Ovis aries: one gene and its partner. The protein of the gene in region 2 purifies or fractionates together with the protein of the main gene of each other region. This does not show direct contact. Links are inferred from orthologs where the notes say so. Each region holds a gene or a part of one and is shown on either strand. Other genes may lie near its edges.

Region 1 (4,501 bases), on a different chromosome or scaffold from region 2:
AATGTACCCACACAATTTGGTGAGTCAGCAGCTATGTCACAAACCATGAAAAAAGGGAAGCAGCTAATAAGGCTTGACGACCTTTTTTGTTTATTATTTTAGGTTATAGTAGGCATCCTCCCTTTGATGTCTTGTAGTCAAAGATGAAAACTTTCAACTTTGAAGCATAATGAACATAATTATACATTTACTTCAATCACCTACACTCTGCCTTACACAACACCACAAAAAGATATCTAACAATTTTTCTGCTTTTTACATTTGTTAAAATAGCTATGTTGAACACATACATTTGCAGAATACAGTTGTTAACCATTTGATAAACATACTAAGCCAAACAATACAAATAACATCAATTACCTTTTTAATCTAATAACTGTACCAATCATTGTAAGAAGATACAACTGAAGGGGAATTACGGGATCATCCTTGATGCACTGCAAAGGTTTTACACCTTGGTCCTAAGAATGATCTGAAGGTGCTGAAAGAGGTGATTCTCTGGAAGGTGACCCAGGATTTTCTTCAGGTGGAAAAACTGTGAGAGTACAAGCTCGAATGCCACCAAGTGACTCTGGAAGGTCAAAAACTTTATGCCACTCATCCTTTTCTGGGTCATATTTCTGGACAATTTCTACCATACAACGATTATTCCAAGAATATCCACCTACGACATAGATTTTATTTTCAAAGACAGCAACTCCAACATCACTTTGACCTCTTAACATGGCAGCAATTGGTGTCCACTGGTCAAGAGTTGGCGAATAGTATTCACAGCTTAGAACATCATCATAATCACTTGTTCCTCTGAAGTGATTGCCACCAATGACATAGAGCTTGTCTCCAACTGTACACATGCAATGCAGACCTCTGACTGTTGTCATTGGAGCCTTCTGTGTCCATTTGTCTGTATCAGGGTCAAAACACATGAGCTCATTTTGGAAAGTGTCATGAGTAATTCCTCCTGAAATATACATTAAGCCTCCATACACTGTTCCAGCATGGCCATAGTGGGGTTCACTCATTTTCGCAACATAGCTCCACTCATTCATTCTTGGATTGTAACATTCTACAGTGGCCAGCTCACCAGCTGCACTTCGCCCACCAACAGCATACAAATGTCCTTTGAGGGCGCTCAAGTGGAAAAATGTGCGCTTTTCATTTAATGATGCAACCTGCATCCATTTATTATATCGAGGATCAAATCTGAAAACTGTATCAACAGCAGTTTTTCCTTTTGTATCATAATTACTTTGACCACCAACTACATAAAGAAAGTTTCCAATGACAGCAATGCCATGCTGGTAACGAGGAGCATCCATGGGGGCTAAAGATCTCCACTCTTGAGCCCTCTCATCATACATCCGTAATTCTTTACTGACAACCAGCTGCTGCCTCAAAACTCCTCCTAATGTAACCAAGTGTGTCGAATCAGATCGAATGGCGGTTCTATCTGACTGCATCACTGGCTGCATATATGGCATCATTTGGTAATTGCTAGCTTCCAAAAGCAAATTCACACACGTATTGTCTGTTCTCATAAAATCTACTGTCTGCACATAATTGATGAGATCCTGTGGTGTCATCAGTGGAAATCGAATATTCTTCATTAATTTTGCAGCATAATCCATCCGAGGATCTTCCAACCTTAGCCAGCGACAGGCAGCCTTAAAGAGCTCAAGTTCAGTACAGTGCTTAAGGCTATTGCTAGAAAGCACAAAGGCAAGCCGTTCAAAAGGGAGTTTTAGAAACTCTCCAGTACTCAGTAAGGCAGGAAAATTCTTCAGAATGAAATTATTGACATATTTATCTACTTCTATAAGATTGTAGGTGTTAGCAATTCGTCCAACTTCAACACAGTTATCTAAAGAGACTCCTGAAATAAGAAACACTTTACAGAAGTCTAAAACAGGCAAGATTTGCAAAAAGCTGGCAGCTTCAAGAGTGTCCTGAAGATTGTCCATATTAAGAGAAAGCTTTGCAGTATAAATAAAATCAATAATTTTCTTCAGACCAACTTTGTTCACTCCGTGAAGCTTAATGCACATTAAATCCTGTTCTTTCATTCCACCTGTGAACATAGCCTTGAAGTAATCACTAGCGGACGCCATCATAGCTCTATGAACAGGGAAGATTTCATCTCCATCACCTGGCACCAGAGTCACATCACAAAGCAATCCTTCTATTCTAAGTTGATCAAAACCTTGCAGTACCACCGAACTGTGAGTATTGCTGGTAAAAAAACGTGTGGTTCCTGCCTTGCAAGGCTGTAAATGGGCGGAGACGCCCATTTCACCGTTACCAAGAGACACTTTCATGTGAACGCCTTCCTCTTGCACAAAGATGTATGCCGGACAAAGAGGTTACGACCGGAAAGCTTTAAAGGAAACGAGGATGTCCCAAGAGCAAGAGAGCTCGCTTTCCTTATCAAGGGCAAACTGTCACTGCAGCACGCCTCAGAACACAATAGTCCCACATTGAAAATTGTTCTGCAGCTGGCCCACAGAGGGCTGTGGACCTCAAATCTGACTACTATGTAGATGATTCATCACCTGAGGCAGTTAAGTGACCCGGTTCACCTGGTCCGGCCTGCGCTGCTCTTCCCGCAGTTCTGCTCCGGGCTAAGGGGGAGGTGCCGCCACGTCCTGCGGCCCGGCGTCTCGCTCGACGGCGAGGGCCGGCACCTCAGAGAGCGGCCCGCCGCGCCCTCCGCCGCCCTTTGAGCGTCGCCGCGGCTACCGGCCCGTCCTGGAGCAAGGACCTGGAACACGAGCCTGGGCCTGGAACACGGGCCGAGCTCCCAACGCCGAGCCGGTCCTTCCGGAAAGGCCTCGTCCCAGGATCCCCCGGGCTAGGAGCGGCCGTGGCAGCTACTGCGGCTGCGCAGCCGCCCGACCTAGCCAGTAGGCGGGCTTGTGTGGGGGATGGGAGGATGTGGGCCGTGCCTCGAGCAGGCGGGGTTTGGGTCGCGCAGAGCTGTGCTGGGTGGGCCAGCGGGGTGTCTTCGGGATACTTTGTATGTGGTATTATTAAATAGGAATGGGTGCCCGGATATTATTTTTAATATAACTCTTTCACTGCAGCTGAGCTGTTCCTCTAAATGAATACTTCGAGATTTACATTTCTTGGCTTCTGCCTTTTGGATAACAATGAAATGCAGCTTTTCTGGAAGCTGAAACCTGGCAGAAGGCTTCCTTAGGGGAAAGATGCTTTTAGTTTTCCTCTATAAAAAACAAACTTTATTAATTCTTATCCCACACTGGGAATGTTCTGGCAGGTCAGTGGTTAGGACTCGGCACTTTCACTGCTGTGGCCAGGGTTCAAACCCTGGCTGCAGACCAAGATCCCTCAAACTCCTCAACCAAAAAAAAAACCAACAAAAAACCTATCCCACACAATTTAATAGACAGTTCAAGTATAACTCTGGGTACATATTTTCAGATTTTAATCATTTAAAACAGGTTATTTGCCTCTCTTAAAATACCAAATTATGACCATGCTATGTAAATAATATAGGCTGAATTTTTGCCATGCAGCAGAATTCCATCAGTAAATTTTTCGTGCTTTTGTTTTCCACTCACAAGTTTTTAAATGGATAGACAATTGTCATTTGTTCCTGAATATATACTTCGTTGTTCTCCAATGTTACAGACTCCGAGCACAAAACTTCCCATTTTGGGATAAATCCTAATGTTAGAATGCTGCTTGAAGACATACAAAGTTTTTTGCAAAATATTGTCACCAGAGATGTTTTGAAAAACTACATATTGGCACTTTTCATTGGCACTTGCCATCTACCTCTACAAGGATTGAATAAATCTCTCCTGCTGTTGTAGCTGCTGACCTTCAACACCACCTGATGGGTGTTCAGAGTGGAGATCAGAAAGGAGGCACTCTTGTGCTCTGGAAAAACTGGCAGAACAGGTCTTCAGATAGATATTTTCAGGAGCTGATTTTAGGAGCACAATTTTTGCATCTCCTCATATCTAGAAAAGCACTAAATTCCTTCATGGTGATATCTGCTCCCTCGTGACTAGCAAAACCTTCTGCAAAAAAACATGCTTGATTGCATATACCCCTCTCTTCACTAAAATCACATATATACCAACCACCCCTCTACCTCTTTGGAGCAGCTTCCCAGAGTATGTGAAATGCTATCTCCAGGGCAATAGTCTCATTTTGCCCCCAATAAAACTTAACTCACAACTCTTTTTAAGTACTTTTTTAAAGTCAACACTTTGAGTGTATATTTATCCCACTACTGATCTTTCCCTTAATGGTTATTTTAAAACTTACATTTTAAAAAATTCAAATATAGTTGATTAACTTATATTTTAAAAATTACTAGTCAATTTAAATTTGGATATATGAATAAATGTATACTTTGACAACTGCTTCCAACACTTTCCACATTTTGAAGTTACTACTGTCTTATACATCCTTCCAGTTTCTTTATGTATCAGCTAACTGATGAAAATATGAAGATAACATACTATACTCACTG
Region 2 (3,821 bases):
GATATTTTGTTTCAAATCATGCAAAATCATTGCCATTTAGGAGGAAGAAGTAAAGCATGAATGGCAACAGCAGTATGTACAGCTTAGTTTGTAAATAAGAAAAAAAATCATGTGAATGTAACAATGTCACAGAATATTAAAATGATAATAACTAACATCTAATTCTAACACCTTTTAATCCCAACAACTCAGGAATCTACTAGCATTGTTTCAACTTACATTCCATTTCTTGTCCAAGATAGGAACACCATCGATTTCTCATATCTTCTACAGCAAGTATGTCTTTCTCTTCCATTTCATCCACCAATAACAGGGGCAAAAACGGGACAATAAATTCATTCATGATAATCAGACCATTGTTTACTTCTCTATCCTCTCCAGATTCAAACAGTTCTGCAGCTTGCTCATTTAATTTCTTAACGCAATGAGAGAGAAAGAGAGAGAGGAAAAAAAAAAACAGGTTTGTTTCCTTTTTCAACTAAGTAAAAATATCTCACAATAATGAAGGCAACATAATAAGCATGTTTGCAAACAGTAATAGAACAAATAGAAATCAGAAAAAGCAACCTCAGCTTATTGAGTGAGAAAAGTTTCTTAGAAAAGGATTTGCATGTTACAATAGAAACAAGAGCAAAAAAAAAAAAGTCAGAAAAATACTGCTGTCATGTTTTTAAAGTTCATATTCAGTTTACTTTGATCATCACTATAGGAACTATTTTTAAATTAATTGTCCAGAGGTGAATTACCCCAATTCTAAAATATGATAAGCACTCAAAGTAATTTTAAAAGCAAAGAAATTCAGATTCCATACTAATTTTGAAAAACTCATCTTTTCCATAAATGTCAGCTGAACAGGGACTGTTATATTTCTTGATACAGAAATATAAAGGTAATCAATTAAATCATTCATTTCTTCAAAAAATTCTTACTCAGTACATGCCATGTGCCAGAAACTGTTTTAGTTGCAGGGGTACCCAAATGATTAATAAGAAAACTCTCATGGAGCTCACAATCTGTTACAATACAGGGATCAGTAACATTTTCTCTGTAAAGGACAAGACAGGGAATATTTTAGGCTCTGAGGGCTATATAGTCTTTGTTGCAATGACATTAATATTGCTGCACCAAGACAGTCGTATGTAAGTGAATGGGCAGGGCTATGTTTCGGTAAAACTTCATTTATAAAAACAAGTGGCAGGAGGGAGCAGAGGCCAAGCATGCTGACATCTAATTAAATAGAAGTAAGAAATCCATGAGATAAGAAATACAGACATGGGAGATAGAAAAAAGATACAGGTATAATAAGACTTAAAACATTTTTTTAAATTGGAGGATAACTGCTCTAACAATGTTGTGTGTATGAATCAGCTATAAGAATACACATAGCCCCCTCTGTCATGAGCCTCCCTCCCACCTGCTCATGAGACGTTTATGTCTGAAATCTCACGTTTACAGAGAGTATGATTTTTAAATAATCTTCATATTTTAAAAATAATTTAAATTATAAAAAGCATATTATTTCTTAGGTTATGACATTCTTGTGCAATTCATCTTGACTTTGTAGAAAGCTTATGCTAAAAGTCCAACTCAGCCACTAAGTAATTATCTAACAGTCAGCAAACAACTAATTTCCTAGCTTCAGCTTCTTCATATGAAAAATGGCATAGTATATAACCTTCCTCACATAGTGGCTAAGAGGATTAAATGAGATAAGCCTTGAAGTATATAGTGTAATTTTTACAATTTGCATTCAAAGACATTATTATTCTGAATTTGATGTTATGTTCACTAAATCAAAACAGATCCTAGAGACAACTTAAGCATAGTTATATCCAAAGCCAACCTATTCATCCTCTTCAGAGTCCCCAAAGCCAAAGACAAAACAGATCTAGTAAGTCATGAGGCTTTAATGCCTCTACTTCCTTCTTCACACTCATCTCATCGTTATCGACCATCTCCTTTACCATTTACATAACTTCTCTTTCATACTTTTCCCTGTCTAACTATCTTTTCTAGGGTTCTTTGTTTCAATCTTTACTCCATTCCAGTCCATATTCAAGTATACTACTGCCAGAATTACTTTCTAAAAACAAAACTGATTATGCCCAATTTATTCCAACTTTACAACCAACTCATGAGAATGATGCATAAGCTTCTACACAGTTTGACATCAACAAACACTGTTGGCTTCATCACGTCCACCTACACTTGTTTCTCATAACTAAGCCACAACAGACTTATCTTCATTTTCTGTCGTACACTCTCCATGTCTTTTCATACAATATTCCTTTGTCTAGAATTTCTTGCCCCTTCTCTACAAGGCACAAAATGCCTATTTATCCATTCGGATACAGATCAGTGTTTATCTTATTTCTTAAGCTTCTCTCCAACAATTCCAAACATACTATGTTGCGTATTTCTCATAATGCTTATTCTGAAATATAAAAATTACTTGTATACATCTCTCACCAGATTGAATTCTCTTAGGATATAATAATGGCTCTTATCTTTGCATCCCTCAGAATCTGATACTCAGTAAATTCTCAATATTAAAAAAAAAACCAAACAACTAAAAAAGGAAAAAAGAAAACACCTAAAAGGAACACTAAAATTCTCTTGAAGCTGCATTTAAATTCCTATGTGAAACAATAAATGTGGCTGGCTTACTAACATAAAATGATAAACACTTTTTACCATAATATAAACACTGTCTACCATTACGGTAGACAGTATTTTAGTTGTGTTTATGTTTAAAATAGGTTTATCAATACATTTCAATATTCCAACACTGCAAAGTTTTACATTAACAAGTGCTTTGATTCATTCAATGCATGGATTATGAACCTGAATATAATTCAGATCTTCCTTCTTGGGCATTGATTAAAAACCTTTTGAAACTGACCATATTAAGAATGGGATTCCCTGGTGGCTCAGAGGTAAAGAATCTGCCTGCCAGTGCAGGAAATGCAGGTTTGATCCCTGGGTCGGGAAGATACCCTGGAGAAGGAAATGGCAACACACTCAAGTATTCTTGCCTGGAGAATTCCATGGACAGAAGAGCCTGGCGGGCTACAGTCCATGGGGTCACAAGAGGGTCAGACATGACTTAATGACTAAAGAACAACAAATTAAGACTACCATTCTTGATGGATACAAACCATCAATAATTAAAGTCTTAAAATATACTCAAATGCAATAAAATCAGCTAAGAGAAAAATAACAAAATCACAAGCTTCTACTCTTGCCATTCAAAAATTCTGAAGACATAATGCAGACTACAATTAACATATACTCTGCAGTTCTACTGAAAGAAAACATTTCAGCAGTACACCTACTGAAAGTCTTTTTAAAGTACATGTAAACCAATTAACCTATATTGGCTCAAAAATGATATACTCTTGCATACCTTTATGTATTTTATAGAAAAAAAAAACATGACTTAGAGGTTCACAATCTATAGTCATGTTAATAGCTAAATGAAATCCAATCATAAAAAGTATAAAGATGGAATTCGTGGTTTTACACTTAAAGATAAGCAAAGTCAAGAAACATTAACAAAATATTCCAGCCAGAAAGTAAACTGGTGGGGAAAAAGAACTGCTGAAAATATTTAAGTTCATAACAATAATATTTAAGCACATACACAGTAAAAATACTTGAGGAAAAAATTTCAATGACCAAATGGAAAAAACCTTCATATTACAATGAATTATTTAACGTTATATACACCAAATATACTCTTTATAAAAACTCAGAAAAACTATACTTTTTCTGGAATAATAATAATGATAATTTATCATACCATTCAGCACCTCTTCTAC

What was found.
Region 1: the proteins of USP25 (region 2) and KLHL9 purify together in Homo sapiens (affinity purification with mass spectrometry; 3 studies listed by BioGRID and IntAct, with this or other methods). This does not show direct contact. The link is inferred for Ovis aries from reciprocal best matches to the Homo sapiens genes USP25 and KLHL9.

The regions. Positions count from the first base shown.
Region 1 is NC_056055.1:89,892,431-89,896,931, forward strand, and holds the start of KLHL9 (kelch-like protein 9), read right to left. Parts: upstream 2,846-4,501; 5' UTR 2,316-2,845; coding exon 462-2,315; 3' UTR 361-461; intron 1-360.
Region 2 is NC_056054.1:141,980,576-141,984,396, forward strand, and holds part of USP25 (ubiquitin carboxyl-terminal hydrolase 25), read right to left. Parts: intron 416-3,821; coding exon 220-415; intron 1-219. UniProt on the Homo sapiens protein: Deubiquitinating enzyme that hydrolyzes ubiquitin moieties conjugated to substrates and thus, functions in various biological processes including inflammation and immune response.